3 linked regions of the Anolis sagrei genome follow. The protein of the gene in region 1 purifies or fractionates together with the protein of each later gene. This does not show direct contact. Links are inferred from orthologs where the notes say so. Each region holds a gene or a part of one and is shown on either strand. Other genes may lie near its edges.

Region 1 (8,045 bases):
CTCAGATGTAATTTTTCCATGCAGAAATCTTTGAATCTGTACACCACATAATGGATTCAAATTAGGGGGGGGGGGGGGGGAAGATTCTGCCTAAACATTCAGAAGTTTGGTTTTTTTATTGTTGTTTTTGTTGTTGTTGTAAGGACTGTTCAGCAGAAAAAATATATTTCCTTGGAGTGTGGTGAACTCTCCATATTTGAAGGTCTTCAAACAAATGGTATCTTTTAAAGGAATGCTTTAGTTATCTACATTCCTGAATTCTATGTAGTTGGGCTAGATCAGTGTTTCTCAACCTGGGGATCGGGACCATTGAGGGGGGTCACGAGGAGGTGTCGGGGGGTCACCAAAGACCATCAGAAAACACAGTATTTTCTGTTGGTCATGGGGGTTCTGTGTGGGAAATTTTGCCCAATTCTATTGTTGGTGGGGGTTCCATAGTCAAAGACCCACCACTGAGAAGGCATCCGTAGGGAGACCAAGGTGCTTCTCTATAAAGCTATTGTCCTCCCAACCCTGCTATATGCCTGTGAAACGTGGACTGTCTACAGACGTCACATGCAACTCCTGGAACGATTCCATCAGCGCTGCCTCCGGAAAATCCTGCAAATCTCCTGGGAAGACAAGCGGACAAACGTCAGCGTGCTGGAAGAAGCAAAGACCACCAGCATTGAAGCGATGGTCCTCCAACATCAACTCCGCTGGGCCGGACACGTTGTCCGGATGCCTGACCACCGTCTCCCAAAGCAGTTGCTCTACTCTGAACTTAAGAACAGAAAACGGAATGTTAGAGGACAGGAAAAGAGATTTAAAGATGGCCCCTTAAAAACTCTGGCATAGACACTGAGAACTGGGAAGTCCTGGCCCTTGACTGCTCCAGCTGGAGGTCAGCTGTGACCAGCAGTGCTGCAGAATTTGAGGAGGCACGAGTGGAGGGTGAAAGAGAGAAACGTGCCAGGAGGAAGGCGCATCAAGCCAACCCCGACCGGGACCGCCTTCCACCTGGAAACCAATGTCCACACTGCGGAAGAAGATGCAGAGCAAGAATAGGGCGCCGCAGCCACACGCGGACCCACAGGAAAACCCATAATGGAAGACCATCTTACTCGTCCAACGAGGGATCGCTAAATAAGTAAGTAAGTACTGAGAAGGCCCTGTTTCTCGTCCCCACCAATCACACTTGCGAGGAAGGTGGAACCAAGAGCAGGGCCTCCCCAAATTACCTTAATCTCTGAGATGGTTCATTGTGCTGGTACAGCTATACCAGGAGCTCCAACTGTATTTACTTTGTATTAGATGTTGCTTGCAGTCCAAGGTTGCAGGGACTCTGCAGATAGGTGGCTTTCTTTGGTTGCAGTCGTAGGGCAAGTCACCTGTCCATCATCGGGAAGGGAGCCAATTTTAGTTAGTCTCAGCAAGGAAAGCTAATGTACAGGACGTGTGCAAGCTTCCCCTGTACAAAAGCTTCAACCCTTAAGACTTTCCGGGAGAACAGTCTTAAGAGTCTCCAAAGATTTTCAGGGAAACAGCCCTAAAGACCAAAGAACTCCAGCTGGAGAACATCTAAACCTTTACTGGTAGGTTCACTCGGCGTTCGAGAAGCAGTTCAACCCGGTAGCGGAGCCCACATCAGTAAGGGTTAGATTACAGTCAGCCAGGGAGAAGTTAAAAAGGGGATTTTCCTTTAAAGTAAAGAAGAAGTTATTGAAGGCAGTTGCCTGTCCTTCATGGGCAAGTTTAGGAAGCTACCAGTTGCATTAAAGTCTGGAATCATTTGTTTAGCTTTATTGAAGACAAGAGAAGTTTCTGTTTGATTCTTCATTAATAAAATACTTTGTTATACTTCACAAGCCATCTAAAGATCATTTGTGGTGGAAAACCTCTGAGAACTTCTCCTTGGGCCCCCTGGCTTCCCGCTGGGCAAAGGTTGCACGTCCTGTTCTAAAAGGAAATTCTTTACAGGTCCAGCACGCAACAGAACATTCATAGAGGGAGATATGTTCAGACAGGTAAGCTGGGCAACAATTCTATTGTTGGTGGAGTTCACACTGCTCTTTGATTGTAGGGGAACTATAAACCCGAGCAACTACAACTCCCAAATGTCAAGGTCTATTTCCTCCCAAACTCCACCAGTGTTCACATTTGGGCACATTGAGTATTTGTGCCAAGTTTGGTCCGATCGATCATTATTTGAGTCCACAGTGCTCCCTGAATGTAGGTGAACTACAAATCCAAAACTCAAGGTCAAAGCCACTGAACCCTTTCTGTATTTTCTGTTGGTCATGGGAGTTCTATGTGCCAAGTTTGGTTAAATTCCATTGTTGGTGGAGTTCAGAATGCTCTTCGATTGTAGGCTAACTATAAATCCCAGCAGCTACAACTCCCAATTGACAAAATCAATCCCCACTCCAACCTCACCAGTATTCAAATTTGGGCCTATCGGGTATTTGTGCCGAATTCCATCCAGTTAATTAATATATCCTGCATATCAGATATTTACATTACAATTCATAATAGTAGGAAAATTACAGTTATGAAGTAGGAACAAAAATAATTTTATGGTTGCAAATCTGAATCTGGAAGTTCCAGATTCAGGCCATCAAATGCTAATCAAGGCAGTCAGTTGAAACATTCACACCTAGCTCCAGCAGACAAGAGTTCTTTGTCCCACCCTGGTCATTCCACAGATATATAAACCCAATTTTCCTAGTTCCAACCTCACAACCTCTGAGGATGCTTGCCATAGATGCAGGCGAAACGTCAGGAGAGAATGCCTCTAGAACATGGCCATATAACCTGAAAAAACCTACAACCCAGTGATTCCAGTCAACAATACAAATATTAAATGGTACTAAACTGTTTTTATTATATTATATTATGTATATTTATGCTTTTCTTATTGTGGGCACTGTGCTGTGCCGGTTGTTAGCCTCCCTGAGTCCCTCTGCGGAGATGAGATAGGACGGGATATAAATGCCCTAAATAAATAGAAATAATGTGTGCAGATCCCAGTAAGGTGGCCTTTTGCAGCTGACAGATGGTTATTTTGTCAGTGGCGATTGTTTTTAAGTGCAGGCCAAGGTCTTGAAGCACTGCACCCAGTGTGCCGATCACCACTGGGACCCCCTTGACTGGCTTGTGCCAGACTCTTTGCAGTTCGATCTTTAAATCCTCATATCGTGTCAGCTTTTCCAACTTTTCCAGTTGTTTCCCTTCAATCCTGCTATCACCCAGGATTACATTGATGATCCATACTTTGTTTCTTAACACGATCGTGAGGTATGGAGTGTTGTGTTCCAAAACTCTTGTCTGTCTGAATTCGGAAGTCCCAGAGTAGTTTGAACTCTTCTTCTTACTTACTTACTTAGGCCATCCCTCGCTGTCCGAGTAGGATAATCCTCCAAGGTGGGTCCGTAGGTGACTGTGGAGCCCTCTTCTTGATCTGTATCTCCTCCCGCAGTGAGGGCATTGGTTTCCAGGTGGAAGGCGGTCCTGGTCTGGGTTGGGTTGACACGCCTTCCTCTTGGCACGTTTCTCCCTTTCAACCTCCATTCATGCTTCTTCGAATTCTGCAGCACTGCTGGTCACAGCTGACCTCCAGCTGGAGCGCTCAAGGGCCAGGGCTTCCCAGTTCTCAGTGTCTATGCCAGAGTTTTTAAGGTTGGCTTTGAGCCCATCTTTAAATCTCTTTTCCTGTTCACCAACGTTCCATTTTCCATTCTTGAGTTCTTCTTCTTCTTATTATTATTATCTTGTATATGTAAAAAAACAAAATCCAAAACACTTTGTATCCCAAGCATTTCAGATAAGGGATAAACTGTATTACCAAATGTGAATAAACAAGAATTTCATTCTCAATTCATTGTAAATAAGTTTTAAATAAATAAATAAATAAAATTGTAAATAAATTTTAAATAAATAAATAAATAAAATTGTAAATAAATTAATTGTAAATATATTGTAAATAAATAAATAAAATTGTAAATAAATGCATTGTAAATAAGTAAATAACTAAAATTATAAATAAATTCATTGTAAATAAATAAATAAATAAAATTGTAAATAAATTCATTGTAAATATATTGTAAATAAATAAATAAATTGTAAATAAATTAATTGTAAATAAATTAATTGTAAATAAATTGTAAATAAATAAATAAATAAATTGTAAATAAATAAATAAAATTGTAAATAAGTAAATTGTAAATAAATAAATACAAAAATTGTAAATAAATAAATAAATAAATTATAAATAGATTTATTGTATATAAATTGTAAATAAACAAATGAATAAAATTGTAAATAAATTCTTTCTAAACACATTGTAAATAAATAAATAAATAAAATTGTAAATAGATTCATTGTAAATAAATTTTAAATAAATAAATAAAATTGGAAATAAATTCATTGTAAATATTTTGTAAATAAATAAGTAAATAAAATTGTAAATAAATTATGAATAAATAAAATTGGAAATAAATTCAGTGTAAATAAATAAATAAAATTGGAAATAAATTCATTTGAAATACATTGTAAATGTGGTAACCCCCCTTTTAAGAATGCACTCAACCTCCTTGTAGTTTAACTGTTAATATGTGTTTGGAAGATCAGAAGGTCAGAATCTTAATTACTCTTGCTAAAGTTTCCAATGAAGAAAAGTTAAGTCTGTTTCGAGCCAGCCAGGAGTCGAACCTAGAATCTTCTGATCCGTAGTCAGACGCGTTATCCATTGCGCCACTGGCCCTCAGACACAAACAGAGCATTCCACCTCCTCCCTTATAAGGCATTCCATAGCGTTGCCTGCTTCGCGATGCATCCTGGGAAGTGTAGTCTTCCACCGTCATGTGCCTTTTTTCCCCCTCCCGAGTGCATGATGGGAAATAGAACCTTTACCTCATGCTCTCTCAGTCACTGACTCCGGCTCGGATTTTGATTGGTTTAGCTAGGCCGGTGCTGACTCCGCCCCCTCCACTCTGGCTTTGAAAGGCCTCATTGGATTGGCTGCTTTCTGTAAAACGGCCGCGGATTGGTTAAAGTGCTAGAGTGGGCGCGGGCTCACGGTTCTGGCTTCTCTGTGTGGCGGGACATGGCGGCGAACACAGCGGCGGCGCCTTCGGTCGGGCCCGGCTCGGCGGCGGCTCGCGTCTCTTGCGGGAGAGACCTCAACTGCGTCCCGGAAGTGGCCAGCACTCTGGGGGCGGTCGCCCGGCAGGGGTGAGGAGGAGAACCACGTGGCTTCATACTATAGAACAGGCCTGGGCCAATTTGGGCCCTCCAGGTGTTTTGGACTCCAACTCCCATCATTCCTAACAGCCTCAGGCCTTTTTATTTTCTCCCTCAGCCGCTTAAGCGGCTGAGGGAGAAAATAAAAGGGCCTGAGGCTGTTAGGAATGATGGGAGTTGGAGTCCAAAACTCCTAGAGGGCCCAAAGTTGGCCCAGGCCTGCTCTATCATCTATCAATCTGTTGCTAGCCCTATAATGTCACTGGGAAAGGAAAAGAGTGAAGTAGCTTGGTTGCTGCTAAGTGACATGTGTGTAAAGGGAAGGGAAGGAAGCAAAAAAGAAGGAAAACAGGAAAAGAGAGAGAGAAAGAAAAGGGGAAAAGATAGGAGGTGAGGAAAGAAAGGATCTGTAATTGGCTAGGTGGATCTATAATCCCAGAATATCAAGGTAGACAATCCCACAATATCTGCTTTGTTATCGGAGTCCACACGCAGATATGTCCCAGCAGATTGGAGGAGCGCAAATGTGGTCCCTATCTGTCTTCAAGAAGGGCAAAAGGATGACTCAAACAATTACTGTCCTGTCAGCTTCACGTCAATACCAGGCAAGATTCTGGAAAAAAAGCATTAAGTGCTCTGCGAACAGGCCCTCCCGCACACCTTCTAAACTGTGCACATAGAATCATAGAATCAAAGAGTTGGAAGAGACCTCATGGGCCATCCAGTCCAACCCCATTCTGTCAAGAAGCAGGAATATTGCATTCAAATCACCCCTGACAAATGGCCATCCAGCCTCTGCTTAAAAGCTTCCAAAGAAGGAGCCTCCACCACACTCCGGGGCAGAAAGTTCCACTGCTGAACGGCTCTCACAGTCAGGAAGTTCTTCCTCATGTTCAGATGGAATCTCCTTTCTTGTAGTTTGAAGCCATTGTTCCGCGTCCTAGTCTCCAAGGAAGCAGAAAACAAGCTTGCTCCCTCCTCCCTGTGGCTTCCTCTCACATATTTATACATGGCTATCATATCTCCTCTCAGCCTTCTCTTCTTCAGGCTAAACATGCCCAGTTCCCTAAGCCGCTCCTCATAGGGCTTGTTCTCCAGACCCTTGATCATTTTAGTTGCCCTCCTCTGGACCCATTCCAGCTTGTCAATATCTCTCTTGAATTGTGGTGCCCAGAATTGGACACAATATTCCAGATGTGGTCTAACCAAAGCAGAATAGAGGGGTAGCATTACTTCCTTAGATCTAGACACTATGCTCCTATTGATGCAGGCCAAAATCCCATTGGCTTTTTTTGCCGCCCCATGACATTGTTGGCTCATGTTTAACTTGTTGTCCACGAGGACTCCAAGATCTTTTTCACACGTACTGCTCTCGAGCCAGGCGTCACCCATTCTGTATCTTTGCATTTCATTTTTTCTGCCAAAGTGGAGTATCTTGCATTTGTCACTGTTGAACTTCATTTTGTTAGTTTTGGCCCATCTCTCTAATCTGTCAAGATCCCTTTGAATCCTGCTCCTGTCCTCTGGACTATTGGCTATCCCTCCCAATTTGGTGTCGTCTGCAAACTTGATGATCATGCTTGATGATCAAACTTGATGATCATGTGCTGCTAGTGCTTACAGTGCCCCTTCCAACAGGTCCTCTTCATCAGAGGATGAAATCACTGAGGGAGGGGACTTTTGTGTTTGTCTTCCTGGCTGGGTCCTTGCCCTTGGCCCCACCAAAGTTCTTCTAAGGCAACACGTTGAAAAGAATGAAAAGATTATTATTCCACTTTGTTGATCGTCAACATGGATTTATCAAAAATAATTCATGTCAGACTAATCTTATCTCTTTTTTTGAGAGAGTTACAAGCTGGGTAGATGCAGGGAATGCCATGGATGTAGCGTAACTGGATTTCAGTAAGGCCTTCAAAAAGTTCTCCCATTTCCTTCTGGCAAACATACTAGTCAAATGTGGGCTAGACAAAACTATGGTTAGGTGGATCTGTAATTGGTTAAGGGAACGAACCCAATGGCTGCTCCCCAGTATTTCCTCGGGAGTGCCATATAAGCAGGGTTCCGTCCTGAGTATGGTCCTGTTCAACATCTTTATTAATGTTTTAGAGGAAGGGTTAGAAGGCAGGATCATCAAGTTGGCAGACGACACCAAATTGGGAGGGATAGCCAATACTCCAGAGGACAGCAGCAGGATTCAAAACGATCTGAACAGATGAGAGAGATGGGCTAAAACTAAGCTCAACAGTGACAAATGCAAGATACTCCACTTAGGCAGAAAAAAATGAAATGCAAGGATACAGAATGGGTGACAATGCCTGGCTCGAGAGCAGTGCGAAAAAGATCTTGGAGTCCTTGTGGACAACAAGTTAAACATGGGCCAACAATGTGATGTGGCAGCAAAAAAAAGCCGATGGGATTTTGGCCTGCATCAAGAGGAGCCTAGTGTATAGATCTAGGGAAGTAATGCTACCCCTCTATTCAGCTTTGGTTAGACCACACCTGGAATATTGTGTCCAATTCTGGGCACCACAATTCAAGAGAGATATTGACAAGCCAGAGGAGGGCGATTAAAAGGATCAAGGGTCTGGAGAACAAGCCCTATGAGGAGTGGCTTAACGAGCTGAGCATGTTTAGTCTGAAGAAGAGAAGGCTGAGAGGGGATATGATAGCCATGTATAAATATGTGAGAGGAAGCCACAGGGAGGAGGGAGCAAGCTTGTTTTCTGCTTCCCTGGAGACTAGGATACAAAACAATGGCTTCAAACTACAAGAGAGGAGATTCCATCTGAACATGAGAGCCGTTCAGCAGTGGAACTCTCTGCCCC
Region 2 (8,205 bases), on another chromosome or scaffold:
ATAAATATATAGTTATAATATCATATAATAAAGGTAAAGGTTTACTGTGGCGCTTCATATATTGCAGGACTGCACTATTACCTTTCACCTTTAACTGTGTGAATGTTACTAGCCGTCCCCTGCCACGCGTTGCTGTGGCCCACATGGGGGTTCTGTGTGGGAGGTTTGGCCCAATTCTATCGTTGGTGGGGTTCAGAATGCTCTCTGATTGTAGGTGAACTATAAATCTCAGCAACTACAACTCCCAAATGTCAAGATTCTATTTTCCCCAAACTCCACCAGTGTTCACATTTGGGCATATTGAGTATTCGTGTGGAGTTTGGTCCAGATCCATCATTATTTGAGTCCACAGTCATCTTTGGATGTAGGTGAACTACAACTCCAAAACCAAAGGACACCCCACGAAACCCTTCCAGTATTTTCTGTTGGTCATGGGAGAACTGTGTGCCAAGTTTGGTTCAAATCCATCATTGGTGGGGTTCAGAATACTCTTTGATTGTAGGTGAACTATAAATCCCAGCAACTACAACTCCCAAATGACAAAATCATTTTTTTTTTGAGTGAAGGACATACATTGGCCTGATAGGTGTCTTGTGTCCAAATTTGGTGTCAATTCTCCCAGTGGTTTTTGAGTTCTGTGAATCCCACAAATGAACATTACATCTTTATTTATATAGATATATAGGACAAAATCTTTCTGAATGAGTGTCCACCTTGATGTAACACAGTAAACGAGCTTAATAAATTATTTCAGTTTCTAAATACTATGAGCCTGGTCTTCATAAACTTCCTTCCCATCAGAAAGTCCTATTTCAGTATTTTCCTTGTAGGCTTCTCCCCACTCTATAGATTCATCGGCACCGTATCTACTCACAGTCAATATAGTGAACGTAGAAAAGCTTCCGGCCACTGATGTCCTTGACGCTGAGGATTTCGGCCAGCGCTGTTGATAGAAGAGAAAAAGCATTCTGTTATGGAAAGCAAAAGTCAAAAATGTATGAACATAATATATGTTCATATATATATATTCATGCCAAGAGCGATTTGAGAGACTGCAAGTTGCTTCTGGTGTAAGAGAATCGGCTGTCTGCAAGGATATTGCCCAGGGGATGCGCGAATGTTTTTGATGATCCTTGTGGGAGGTTTCTCTCATGTCCCCACATGGGGAGCTGGAGCTCACAGAGGGAGCTCATCCGCACTCTCCTCAGATTCGCTCAGGCAGATCCTCCCAGCACAATGGTTTAACCCACTGCACAACTGGGACTCCAATACATACAATACCTTACATAGATTTTAAAAAATGCAAAAATATGTTTGGAAAAACTTGCATCAAACACAGATAGATACACAATAGATCTATAAAGGATTTTCAGGATGTAAATCAATACTCATGGTTGAAACGTATTATTTTATGTTATTATTTTATTATTATAATATCTTATTTTACTTATTATTGTTTTGTATTAAATTTTTATAATTTATTGTTTTATTATTATATTATATTGTATGTGCATATAATTTGTAACCTGCTCTGAGTCCTCTTCGGTATGAGAAGGGCGGTATATAAATGTCATAGATAAATAAATAGATTATAATTTATTTATTATATCATTATTTTATTATTATATTATTACTATATTAATAAATAAAATAATTATATAATAAATAAATTATAATCTATTTATTTATCTATGACATTTATATACCACCCTTCTATTGTATTATAAATATATAATACAGTAATTATACTATTACTATATTTACTGTATTATATATTTTATATACTATTTTATTTATAGCAAATATATTACTATAATTACTGTATTATATATTTTATTTACTATTTTATTTTATTATTGTTTTATTGATTATATTACATTATATTATTATTTTATTTATTATTTTATTTTATTTATTATTATATTTATTATTGTATATTCTATTATAAATTTACTTATTCTATATTATAATTTTATTTATTATATTACATAATTATTTTATTTACTATTGCATTTTATTGTTTTATTGATTATATTATATTACATTATTGTTTTATTTACTATTATTTTATTTTATTTTTATTTATGACTATTTTATATTTATTAAAATACATAATTATTTTAATTTTTTTATTTTTATTATATTTGTTATTGTATACTATTATAATGTTATTCTATTCTAATTTTATTATATTATAGAATTATTTTGTTTAATGTTGTATTTTATTGTTTAATTGATTACATTATATTATTGTTTTACTTACTATTATTATATTATAGTATTATAATATATTATACTATTATTATATTATATATTATTTTATTTATTATTCGATATTTATTAAAATACATAATTATTTTAATATTTTACTTTATTATTATTGCATTCTTATAGATTTACTTATTCTATTATATTATAGTTTTATTTATTATATTATATAATTACTTTATTTACTATCGTATTTATTGTTTTATTGATTATATTACATTATATTATACATTATTGTTTTATTTACTATTATTTTATTATTATATTTACTATTGTATTTATTTATTATATTATAGAATTATTTTAATTAGTATTTTATTACTTTATTTATCATATACTACACTATAAAATAATTATTTCATTTTTTATTTTATGATTATTTTATATTTATTAAAACCCATAATTATTTTAATATTATATTTATTATAGTATTCTTTTATAAATTTACTTATTTTATTATATTATCATTTTATTTAGTATGTTATAAAATTATTTCATTTACTATTGTATTTTATCTTTATGTATTATATTATTCTTTTATATTATATTTATATTATATATATTTATATACTATTATTCTTTTATTTTATTTATTTTATTTATTATTTTATTTATTAGATTATAATTATTTTAATTAATATTTTATTACTTTATTGATCGTATATTACATTCTGAAATAATCATTTCGTTTATTATTTTATTTTCTATTTTATTTATGATTATTTTATACTTATTAAAATAATCATTTTAACATTTTATTTATTATTGTATTCTATTCTATTGAGTCGCCTGTTAAGGGCTGAAAAATACGGTATAGAAATAAAGCAAATAATAATAATAATAATAAAAATTATAAATTATAAATTTACTTATTTTATTCTATTATAATTTTATTTATTATATTATAGAATTATTTTATTTACCGTTGTATTGTATTTTTTATATATTATATTATAGAATTATTTTATTTACTATTGTATTTTATTGTTTTATATATTATATTATAGAATTATTTTATTTACTATTGTATTTTATGGTTTTATCCTATATTATGTTATTATTTTATTTATTATTTCATTTTATATTTTTTTTCTATTGTTGTGATGGACTGGGTGTATATCCTTAGACCATACTTACTCTCAGGGACACAATAGCCATCCGCCTGGGAGGGATTCAGATCCCAGCGCCAGGACTCCCTGCTGACAGACCATCCTGGATGCCAATGGGATTGGCCAGCTCAAGGGATGGGCGCCGCTGCTCACCTCTGGAACCCATCCATCAATCACCCCCTTGGCCCCGCCCACCGCCTTGTAACCCCGCCCACGGAATGGGCGTCGCTTTTCACCTCTGGAGCCAGCCCGTCAATCACACCCTTTGGCCCCGCCCCTCGCCTTGTAGCCCCGCCCACGAGATGGGCGCCGCGGCTCACCTCTGGAGCCGACCCGTCAATCACGCCCTTTGGCCCCGCCCCTCGCCTTGTAGGCCCGCCCACGAGATGGGCGCCGCTGCTCACCTCTGGAACCAACCCGTCAATCACACCCCATTGGCCCCGCCCACCGCCTTGTAGCCCCGCCCACGGGATGGGCGCCGCTATTCACCTCTGGAACCAACCCGTCAATCACCCCCTTGGCCCCGCCCACCACCTTGTAGCCCCGCCCACGAGATGGGCGCCGCTGTTCAACTCTGGAGCCAACCCGTCAATCACACCCCTTGGCCCCGCCCACCGCATTGTAGCCCCGCCCACAAGATGGGCGCCGCTATTCACCTCAGGAACCAACCCGTCAATCACACCCCCTTGGCCCCGCCCACCGCCTCGTAGCCCCGCCCACGGGATGGGCGCTGCTGTTCACCTCAGGAAGCAACCCGTCAATCACACCCCCTTGGCCCCGCCCACCGCTTTATAGTCCCGCCCACGAGATGGGCGCCGCTATTCACCTCAGGAACCAACCCGTCAATCACACCCCCTTGGCCCCGCCCACCGCCTCGTAGCCCCGCCCACGAGATGGGCGCCGCTATTCACCTCAGGAACCAACCCGTCAATCACAACCCCTTGGCCCCGCCCACCACTTTATAGTCCCGCCAACGAGATGGGCGCCGCTATTCACCTCTGGAACCAACCCGTCAATCACACCCCTTGGCCCCGCCCACCGCCTTGTAGCCCCGCCCCTCACTCACGCCACTCGTCCTCGTTGTCCTGGTTCCGGCGCAGCACGGGCAGGCGGCAGCCCTCGGTGACTTCCTCCTGCAACGGAGACCCATGTGGAGCCGGCAGCGTTTCCCACCGTTTTCCCCTTCCCTTTCCCTTTCCAAAAAATCCCTTCTGGTTTCCTCACTTACCACCTCCGCCATCTTGGACCCTCGCCGTTCGTCAGGGCCTTCTTTTCCGGCATCGACGGGAACTACTTCCGGGAGGAGAGAATCCACTTCCGCCAGGCGCCATTTTCTTTGTTGTTGTTCTTCTAGGTTCCTACTTCTCCCTCGCGCCCTTTCCGGGTTTGCATAAGTCCCGCCCCCTTTTGGTTCCAGATTTGCATAAAGGGGGCGGGGCGAGAGAGAGAGACCCAAAGGCGGCGGCGACAGGGGGAAGTGGGCGGGGCCTTCCCAGCAGCACTTCGGACGGAGCCATTCCGCCCCGCGACGCCTCCCTCAGGCTTCCGGCTCCCGGCGGGCAGGCAGGCAGGCGAGCCCCAGGCTTCGGCTAGGCCCAGGCCCCGACCCGGAAGAGCTCTGCGGCCCCGCGGGAGGGAGGGTGGGCTGACTTCGCCGCCGCTCGGGAAGGCCTTCAGGCCCGCCTTCGCTCCTCGGGCCTCCTCCCCCGGGCCATGGGGGACCCCCTCGCCCAGATGCAGGGCGGGTTCAGCAGCACAACCATGGACGGTGAGTAGGGGGCTCCTCTCCTCCTCTAGGCTCAGGGGAGGGGGCTCCAAAGGCTCCCTTCTGACATAAAGGCACCACCAAAGCCCTCCAGACAGATGGACATCCAGCCTCTATTTCAAAAAACCTCAGGAGAAGGAGACTCCATCAGTCTCTGGCCTCCTTCTGCCATAAAGACAGATGGCCATCCAGCCTCTGCTTTGAAAAACCTTCCTTAGAAGGGGACCATCAAGTCCAACCCCTTTCTGCCAAGACACCATCAAAGCCCTCCCGACAGATGGCCGTCCAGCCTCTTTCTTAAAAATCTCAGTCTCTACCTCTTTCTGCCATAAAGACACCATCAAAGCCCTCCCGACAGATGGACGTCCAGCCTCTGTTTTAAAAAACCTCAGGAGGAGAGTTCACCCGTCTCTAGCCTCCTTCTGCCATAAGGACACAATTAAAGCCCTCCCGACAGATGGACGTCCAGCCTCTACTTTGAAAAACCTTCCAGAGAAGGGGGCCATCAAGTCCAAACCCCTTCTGCCATAAAGACACAATTAAAGCCCTCCCGACAGATGGAGGTCCAGCCTCTGCTTTTAAAAACCTCAGGAGAAGGAGACTCCACCAATCTGTGGCCTCCTTCTGCCATTAAGACACAATTAAAGCCCTCCCGAGAGATGGCCGTCCAGCCTCTGTTTTAAAAAAATCTCAGGAGAAGGAGACTCCATCTGTCTCTAGCCTCCTTCTGCTATAAGGACACAATTAAAGCCCTCCCGACAGATGGACGTCCAGCCTCTGCTTTGAAAAACCTCAGGAGAAGGAGACTCCACCCGTCTGTAGCCTCCTTCTGCCATTAAGACACAATTAAAGCCCTCCCAACAGATGGCCATCCAGCCTCTGCTTTGAAAAACCTCAGGAGAAGGAGACTCCACCCGTCTGTAGCCTCCTTCTGCCATTAAGACACAATTAAAGCCCTCCCGACAGATGGACGTCCAGCCTTTGTTTTAAAAAACCTCAGGAGAAGGAGACTCCACCAGTCTCTATCCTCCTTCTGCTATAAGGACACAATTAAAGCCCTCCCGACAGATGGACGTCCAGCCTCTGCTTTGAAAAACCTCAGGAGAAGGAGACTCCACCAGTCTCTGGCCCCCTTCTGCCATTAAGACACAATTAAAGCCCTCCCGACAGATGGACGTCCAGCCTCTGCTTTGAAAAACCTCCGGAGAAGGAGACTCCACCAGTCCCTGGCCCCCTTCTGCCATTAAGACACAATTAAAGCCCTCCCGACAGATGGACGTCCAGCCTCTGCTTTGAAAAACCTCAGGAGAAGGAGACTCCACCAGTCCCTGGCCCCCTTCTGTCATTAAGACACAATTAAAGCCCTCCCGACAGATGGACGTCCAGCCTCTGCTTTGAAAAACCTCCGGAGAAGGAGACTCCACCAGTCTCTGGCCCCCTTCTGCCATTAAGACACAATTAAAGCCCTTCCGACAGTTGGATGTCCAGCCTTTGCTTTAAAAAAACTTTTAGAGAAGGGGACCATCCAGTTCAACCCCTCTGCCAAGACACCATCAAAGCCCTCCCGACAGATGGCCATCCAGCCTCTGCTTTAAAAAAACTTTGGGAAGTAGACTCCACCAGTCTCCAAGACAGTTTATATTCCACTGGAGAACCCCAAAGGCCATCCAGTCCTGTCCCCTTCTGCCAGAAAAACACCATCAAAGCCCCTTGAAAGATGGCCATCCAGCTTCTACTTTTAAAAACTTCTAGAGAAGAGGACCATTCTGTCCAACCCCTTCTGCAAAGATACCATTAAAGCCCTCCCAGCAGATGGCCATCCAGCCTCTGCTTTAAAAAACTTTGGGAAGGAGACTTCACCAGTCTCCAAGGCAGCCCATACTCCACTGGACAACCCCAAAGGTCACCCAGTCCAGCCTCCTTCTGCCGTAAAGAAAGACACCATCGAAGCCCTCCCGACAGACTGCCATCCAACCTCTGCTTCAAACATACTTCAAGAGAAGGAGGCTCCGCCTATCTCCAAGGCAGTTTATATTCCACTGGAGAACCCCAAAGGCCATCCATTCCTGTCCCTTTCTGCCATAGAGACACCATCAAAGCCCTCCTGACAGACAGCTATCCAGCCTCTGCTTTAAAAAATATTGAGGAGATGCCACCAGTCTCCAAGGCAATTCATATTCCACTGGAGAACCCCAAAGACCTGCCATTCCAGCCCCCTTCTGCCATAATGAAAGACACAATCAAAGCCCTCCTGATAGATGGCCATCCAGCCTCTGCATATAAGCCTCCAGAGAAGAAGACTCCATCATCATCGCTGATGAAGATGATGATCATGATTATTATTTTTATTGATTTACAGAATTGAAAGCGACCCCCTCTATTGCCATCCAATCCAACCCTTTCCAACCAAGATACCATACATAAAAAGCCCTCCCGATAGATGGTCATCCAACCTCTGCTTGCAAACCTCCAGACTCCATCATCATAGCCAATTTTTATGATTGTGATTATGATTATTGATTCATAGACTTGAAAGCAACCCCTTTATTGTATATACTTTTTTCTTTGTCTATGTAATTTTGATGATGTTGTTTGTTGTTTATAACACCAAAACATAAACATCATCAAAATTACCATCCAATCCAACCCTTTCCAACCAAGATACCATAAAAAGCCTTCTCAATAAATGGTCATCCAACCTCTGCTTGCAAACCTCCAGAATCCATCATCATAGCCAATTTTTATGATTGTGAATGCTTTCTTACGAGGTGTTAGCTGGCCTTGATTGTTTCCTGTCTGGAATTGTTTCATGTTTCATGTGGGAGTTCTTTCTCCCACCCTGGACATCATTCCACAGATATATAAACCCCACTTGCCTAGTTTCCAACAGGCTTTACAACCTTTGAGGATGCTTGCGATAGATGCAGGCAAAACATCAGGAGAGAATGCTTCTAGAACATGGCCAGGCAGCTGGGAAAACTCACAGCAACCTGTAACTCTTGCCTTTTTGAGGCAAGTGTGAATGTTGCAATTGCCCACCTTGTTTAGCATTGAATGGCCTTG
Region 3 (7,790 bases), on another chromosome or scaffold:
AGGAAGCGGATCTTGCTTCCACGGATGTACACCTGCTCCAGCTGCGCCACACGTCCATCACGGTATGTCACTGTGATGTTCGACATCTGGCCACAGAAACAAGAATCATAATACATATATATAACGAGGAATAGCAGGAAGACATTGCCAGATTCTATTGTGTGTTAAAATGCTCCAGATGACTTGTTTTACAATGTTGCTTAAAAACCATTCCAAAAATCAGACATAAATAAAAGCCTAGTAGAAAATGTATTCATTCATACATATTTTTTAAGAAAATGTGTTTTAAAATATTAACAAATCTTAGTATCACTGTTTGTAATGATAAAAGGCAACAGTTTCCTTGTACTGATTAGAAAGAAAGCAAAATAGCCTTAACTCTTGCTCCCGGTAAAAACTTCATTGTAATTCATGCAATAACTTCACAGTAGTCTTCAAATTAGTGGATTTTTCAGCCTTAGTGGAGTCATTGTCTATTCATTTGTTATACCTTTCCTGCCACCTTGTCCAGAATGGTGAATTGTACGGTTTGATTTTTCATTAAAAAAATCAATCATTCAATAAGAAGAAATATAACAATAAGAAATATATTAATAAATACATCATTATTATTGCCTGAAAATAACAATATACAATAGCCATAATATAATAATAATAAATATAATAATGACATCATTATTTTAGCTGAAAATAATAATATAGAAATATCACAATAATATAATAATAAATATTATTATTGGAAACCACCATGAGTAGCAAAAGTAGTAATAGTTTTATTACTATTATTAATAAATAGAAAATAATCTAATAAATACATCATTATGATGGCCTGAAAATAATAATATATAATAACTACACTATAATACTATATAACAATAAGTATAATACTAAATACATCATTATTGCCTGAAAATAATAATATAGAATAATAATAATACTGTAACAACAATATAATTATAACAATAATAAATACAATAAATGTAACATGATTATTACCTGATAATAATAATAATAATCTTTATATTCCACTTTATCTCCCCGGAGGGACTCAGAACGGATTACAATACTGATATGAGGCAAACATTCAATGCCTTTTTACACACACAGTGAACAAAGACATATAAGACAAAGGTCAAGGGCTTCCGCCTTTTCCCATCTCCGGCATCTGGAGGTGATACTCAACTGAAGGTGATCTTGTTCCATTTTCCATGCTGAGGAGCCTGTTTTCCATAGACTTCTCTAATTGTATTGCCGGCATGTCTGTTTATCTGCATGGGGTGCCCTTTTCCCTTCCCACTGAGGCGGTACCTACTGATCTACTTGCCTTGCATTCTTTCAAACTGCTAGGTAGGCAGGAGCTAGAGCAGTTGGGAGCTTACCCTGACTCGTGGCTTCAAACAGTTGACTCTCCGGTTAACAGCCTTTCCTGCAGCTAGCAGCTTTAACCACTGTGCTACCACGGTTAATAACAAAATTAATAGCAAAGACATTGTTATTAATACCTGATGTGTAATGTGTTATTATTTAATTCATGGTAGTTTTTTGATTTGTTGGTTGCACCTTACAGCACTGAATGTTTCCCCATTGGGGAGATAGGGAGGGATACAAATAAAGTTTATTACTATAATTACAATTACAACAATAAATATAACAACAACAACAACAAATATAATAAGCTTACATCTGGATATTATTATTAGTAGTAAGCATATATATATTTAATATTCTTTTATGCCTTTCTCTGTCCACATATATGATCCTGTGCTATTCTTGTCCACTTCGGATAATTTTAATAGAATGTAATATATAATGTAATCTTCTGGTTTCTCTCCTTTAAATGTTAATGTTTTTAATTTTTATTAATCTAATTAAAATAAGTCCAGTTAAAATGGATTTGTAGTGTCATTTAATTATTTGTAATATTCCATGATTATGTGATGAAGGTGTATTATTTAACTACTGGTTGTCGTCTTTACTGTCGGTCGCCCTTTACAGCATTGAATGGTTGCTGCTCCATGTATCTTGAGAAGCGCTCTGAGTCCCCATTGGGGAGATAGGGTAGGATAGAAATAAAGATTCTTCTTCTTATTATAACAACAATAAATATAATAACGATAATATATTATTCGACAATGCAGATAACAATGTTATTATTAAGCCTTTGACAGTACAGATAACAATATATTAATAATAATAATAAATTAATCAATAAGCCATTGATACCTGGCAGTTCATGTTGTCCTCGGCCTCAATGAGCTTCCCGCGGTAGACCTCCCCGGTGTTTGTCTCGCAAGTGACAATGTGTCCCTCAGCCTCATGGAGGACCTTGATGGGGACCCCGATCGACATGATAAGGATGGAAGTGGGTGATGGACAGCTGGCCAGGAGAGAAAAGGGAGGGACAGGAAGTGAGCTCACAGGGGCCCCAACAAGGAGCCCCCGGTGGTGCAGTAGGTTAAACCCTGACAGGTCGCAGGTTCGAATCCGGGGAGAGGCGGATGAGCTCCCTTTATCAGCTCCAGCTCCTCATACATGAGGACATGAGAGAAGCCTCCCACAAGGATGATAAAAACATCAAATCATCCGGGCATCCCCTGGGCAACGTCCTTGCAGACGGCCAATTCTCTCACACCAGAAGCGACTTGCAGTTTCTCAAGTCACTCCTGACACGACAAAAAGAACAAAACAATAAAATAATATAATCAAGGAAAATATCATAATTATTATAATATAATATAATATAGCAATATAATATACTATATAATCACAATAAAGTCCAAAATGTAATAACGTAGAACTCATAATAATATAATCAAAAGAAAATATAATAATGCAATATAACATCATATATAAGAAAATACAATAATAATTGTAATAAAATCAAAAGAAAATGTAATATACGATATGCTATTACATTGTCTTATTTTATATTAGGTTATTATATAGTATATTATAGATTATGTATTAGATTCTATTACATTCTAGATTATGATACTCTCTTATTTTATATTATGTTACTATATACATACTATATTATATATTCGATCATCTATCGTTATACTACCTTATTTTATAGTAAGTTAATATATATATATAATATATTCTAGATTATTACACTTTCTTATGCTATTTTATATGATAATCTTCAATAATAAAGAACAAGCCTTCTCTCGTACGATTTCGGATGTCGCTACAGCGTGAATTCGATCAAAGCCCGGCCTCCCAGCATGCAAAGCGGAAGAGGAGGAAGCGGAAGTGTCGTCCGCTCCACCGCCACCCCGCGCTCTTTTTTTAAACCATAGATTTCCGTGCGGAACTTTTAGCAACGGCTTCCGGTTAATACCGGAAGTCATGACGTTCTATCCTTTCCACCTCTCCAATAGAAAGCTACGGGACTCTATGGTTACGAGCGGTGCGGTCCTTTTTGGGCTCCGGCGGGGAGACCCAAGGGCGGCGACTACAGTTCCGCTTTGTGTTTGCCTCATAAACGAACGGATTCCAATATCGTGCGTCTTGAGATGGTATTTCCATTGGAGTGAAGGTGGTCAAGACATGCGCATGCTCCGTAGGACTCAAAACAACGCCAGGGACGTGGCTTATCGGATAGTGGGCGGGGCAAGGCCTTTTTCGGAAGGGGCGTGGCTTCGGGAAAGGGGGCGAGGTTAGGGCCTTCCTTCTCTTGGTCTCAAGGGGCGGGGCTTGATGAGAGAGGGCGGGGCCAAGGCCTTCCAATCCTCTGGCTTTAGACGCAAGGGGCGAGGCTTAGTGATAGAGGCGGAGCTACGGCCTTGGTCTTAAATGCAAGGGGCGGAGCCAGGGCCACAAAGGCAAGGGGCGGGGCTTGGGGACAAAGGGCGGAGCCGGGGCCTTCCTCACCTCTTCAGGCCTGAAGTGAGCCGCAAGGGGCGTGGCCAGGGGCGTGGCCAGGGGCGGAGCCCGGCAGGAAGCGAGGAAGGGAGGCTTCCCTTCCTGCCTGCCTGCCTTCAGAGAGCCATGAAGAGCCCCAGAGAAGAGGAGGAGGAAGAAGAAGAGGAGGAAGAAGAAGAGGAGGAAGAAGAAGAGGCCCAGACCCCGCCCTCAGGTCGGTGGTGAGCCCCTGAGCATGCGCAGAGGGCACGGTCACTGAGGGCAAAGGGAGGGGGGGCAAAGACAGGAAGGGTCTCTGAGTAGGAGCAGGGAGTGTTAGCATACCCCTCATGCTGCTTCTGGCACCGCCATAGTGCTCCTTCACACTATTATTATGCCCCTTTGCACTCTTATCACACTGAATCGTAATTTTCCCTTGCACTTTGTGTCCCATTTGCATTATTATTACACGCGCTTACACTACACTACACCAGAGTCAGACATGACTGGACTTAATGTCAGGGGACTATTTATTTATTTATTTATTTACTACGCTTATATGCCGCAATTCTCAGCCTAATGGCGACTCATTGCGGTGTACAACATAGAAAAACAGGTGCAAAATACAAGACATAGTGACAAATAATCCGCAGTACATCATTAGCAAAACATCTCATCAAAAACATCAACATTATTACAAAGTCATTCCGAGTCGTCTCATCGTCAAGTTCACAATCCAATACCATTTCTATTGTTCCATTCCATGGTCAAGTTACCAGTCATTGCACTTCTATTCAAATGCCTTCTTAAACAGCCAGGTCTTCAGCTTCCTGCGGAAAATCAACAGGGAGGGGGCTAGCCTGATGTCTACGGGAAGGGTGTTCCACAGCCGAGGAGCCACCACCGAGAAGGCCCTATCTCTCGTCCCCGCCAGCCGTGCCTGTGACGCAGGCGGGATCGATAGCAGGGCCTCCCCGGAAGATCTCAAAGTCCTCGTGGGCTCATAGGCCGACTACCTTTACCTTACCTTACACTACTGCGATGCCACTCACACTGGATCATTGCGCCTCCACACATTATTATTATGCCCCTTCACATTATTGCGATGCTTTTTACACTGGATCGTAATGCCCCTCGCACTGTTATTACACCCCTTGTACTATTGCGATTCTCACACTGGAACATGATGTCTCTTGCACCGTTTAATATGCCCCCTCACACTGTTGCGATGCTTTTCACACTTGATTGTGAGGGGCCCCTCACGCTATTATTGCACCCCTCGCCCTTTTGCAGTGCTTCTCACACTGGCTCATGATGCCCCTCACACTATTATTTTATTTTATTCCGGCCCAATTTACCTGTCCGAACGTATCCTCCCCTATGAGCCATCAAGATTACTAAGATCGTCTGGAGGGGCCCTGCTCTCGATCCCACCGGCCTCACAGGCGCGGCTGGTGGGGACGAGAGACAGGGCCTTCTCGGTGGTGGCCCCTCGACTCTGGAACTCCCTTCCACTGGAGATCAGAACTGCCCCTTCGATCTTAACGTTCAGGAAACAGGTGAAAACCTGGCTTTGGGGACTGGCATTCAGCGAATGAGCCATGATCCTGTGATATGGATGGATGACGACGAATAATGACTTTGATGACGACTGACCAGTGTAATCATACGATTGTATTTTTGCTATTTTAATTGTTTCAATGTTTTAATGTTTTAGTGTGATTTAGAAATATGATGTTTTGATGACGGTCTGTAATATTGATGTTGGAAACCGGCCCGAGTCCCTCGAATGGAGGTGAGAAGACCGGTATACAAAACTACCAAATAAATAAATAAATAAATAATTTATATATTTCGGACATTTGTATCCCGTCCTATCTCAACCTCCACAGAGGGACTCAGGGCGGCTAACAACCGGCCTATTGTGTCCCACTCGCACTATTATTACACCTGCTTGCAATTCTTCTTGCGCCTGATCATAATTCCCACCCTTGCACTATTATTACGCCCCTCGTGCTGTCGCAATGCTTTTCACTGGATCGTGATACCCCCTTGCACTATTATCACACCCCCTTGCATTATTGTGATGCTTCTTGCACTGGATCATAATGCCCCTTGCAATATTATTATGCCTCCTGCACTAGTGTGATTCTCACATTGAATCATGATGCCCCTCGCACTGTTATGCCCCCCTTGCACTGTTGCTATACTGGATCATGATCCCTCCTCACACTATTATAACACCTCTTGCGTGAACTTAATGCCTGTCACACTATTATAGTGCCCCTTGCATTGGTACAATGTCACTTGCACTGTTACACCTCTCACACAATTGTAACCTCCCTTCTTTGCCCAGTTGTAACCTCCTTTGCACAATTGTCAAGTTCCCTTCATGGCCGTAACATCCTTCACACCATCATATAATGCCTCACACGATTGTAACGTTCCTTACACAACTGTAACCTCTGCTGCACGAGCATAATAACTGGAATGCCATTCACACGACTGTACAATCCATTTGTGTACTGTCACTTGCACAAGTGCGGTTACTAACTGCAAGGTCTCACTGTTCCTGGCATGATTGTAACACCCCCTTGCACAACTGCAATGCCCTTCACACGCTTGCGAACGCCTTTAGCACGGACCTCCCTTCCTGCAGTTTAGTTGTTCCTCAGTAGTCCTGAGTGGTTCCCATGAAGTATAAACGCCTTGTGTCTTTTCCCTCACACGACGGGGACATGCTTCGCACGGATATTGCACTGCAGTGGGAATAGTGCAGCTGAACGTTCCAGTCCTCCAGCAGCTCTATCACTGGGACTGCGGCCTGGCCTGCTCCAGGATGGTCCTCAAGTGAGTGCGACAGCCGTCTCATAATTGTGACCTCATTACACATATGCAAATAACACGATGAACGGATATAAGTATTATATTTTATGATGGTATAATTTTAATAGAATAATAATACATTGAAATAACATTATACATTTATATTATAATAATAATATAATATAATTAAAATAAAATTCAACAATATCCCAATTAAACAATATAATAATATGACAATTATATTATAATAGTAATTTAATAGAATAGAATAATGAAAGAATATAATATAATTGGTACATTATATTAACAATATAAATATATTACAGTAGAATAGAAAAAGAATATAATGAAAGAATATAAATCTTACAACAATAATATAATAAAAACAATAATATAATAGTACTATTATACCTAGTATAATTATTAAATTATCATATAATAGTTATATTAATTACAAACTAATATAATATAATGATTTAGTTATTATATTAAAGTACAATGGAATAATAGTATTATTAAAATTGTAGTATAATGATAATATAATAATTACATTATAATATAATAAATATTTATAATAATTATATAATTGTTACGTTATATTTATTATATTAATTATTCTATATAATAGTGCCACCAAAATATTTTACAACTTCTTCCTGGCAGGTACCTGAACCTCCTTGATGACGCCGAGTTCCAGAGGGCTGTCCAGGAGCTTGGTTTGACCAAGAGCATCTGGACCATCGACCTGGCTTACCTCATGCGCCACTTTGGGGTCCGGCACCGCTTCTGCACCCAGACCCTTGGGGTGGACAAGGGCTACAAGAACCAGGTACCCTTCCCCTCGGAAGGGGCCAAAGGAGGCCAGTTTCTCCCTAGAAAAGGCCCCAAAGGCAGGTTTCCCCTCAGAAAAGGCCAAAGGAGGCTGTTTTTCCCTCAGAAGAAGCCTCTTCTCCCTCAGAAAAGGCCCAATAAGGCATCCTTTGCCTGAAAAAAGGCCAAAGGAGGCAATTTTCCCTCAGAAAAAGCCCAAAGAGGCTTGCTTTCCCTCAGAAAAGGCCCCAAAATGCTTGTTTTCTCTCAGAAGAGGCCTCTTCTCCCTCAGAAAAGGCCCAATAAGG

Evidence for each region. Proteins that work in one complex are often made in the same cells at the same time.
Region 2: the proteins of PRMT5 (region 1) and RELA purify together in Homo sapiens (affinity purification with western blotting; 3 studies listed by BioGRID). This does not show direct contact. The link is inferred for Anolis sagrei from reciprocal best matches to the Homo sapiens genes PRMT5 and RELA.
Region 3: the proteins of PRMT5 (region 1) and SNRPD3 purify together in Homo sapiens (affinity purification with mass spectrometry; 3 studies listed by BioGRID and IntAct, with this or other methods). This does not show direct contact. The link is inferred for Anolis sagrei from reciprocal best matches to the Homo sapiens genes PRMT5 and SNRPD3.

What each region holds. Positions count from the first base shown.
Region 1 is NC_090026.1:9,494,820-9,502,864, forward strand, and holds the start of PRMT5 (protein arginine N-methyltransferase 5), read left to right. Parts: upstream 1-5,045; 5' UTR 5,046-5,083; coding exon 5,084-5,211; intron 5,212-8,045. UniProt on the Homo sapiens protein: Arginine methyltransferase that can both catalyze the formation of omega-N monomethylarginine (MMA) and symmetrical dimethylarginine (sDMA), with a preference for the formation of MMA.
Region 2 is NC_090032.1:9,830,986-9,839,190, reverse strand, and holds the start of RELA (transcription factor p65), read left to right. Parts: upstream 1-4,924; 5' UTR 4,925-5,090; coding exon 5,091-5,145; intron 5,146-8,205. Other genes in the region: histone acetyltransferase KAT5, read right to left, coding at 875-943, 4,444-4,510, 4,606-4,617. UniProt on the Homo sapiens protein: NF-kappa-B is a pleiotropic transcription factor present in almost all cell types and is the endpoint of a series of signal transduction events that are initiated by a vast array of stimuli related to many biological processes such as inflammation, immunity, differentiation, cell growth, tumorigenesis and apoptosis.
Region 3 is NC_090034.1:49,010,064-49,017,853, forward strand, and holds the start of SNRPD3 (small nuclear ribonucleoprotein Sm D3), read right to left. Parts: upstream 3,282-7,790; 5' UTR 3,177-3,281; intron 2,378-3,176; 5' UTR 2,350-2,377; coding exon 2,224-2,349; intron 87-2,223; coding exon 1-86. Other genes in the region: protein GUCD1, read left to right, coding at 3,994-4,081, 6,612-6,696, 7,336-7,501. UniProt on the Homo sapiens protein: Plays a role in pre-mRNA splicing as a core component of the spliceosomal U1, U2, U4 and U5 small nuclear ribonucleoproteins (snRNPs), the building blocks of the spliceosome.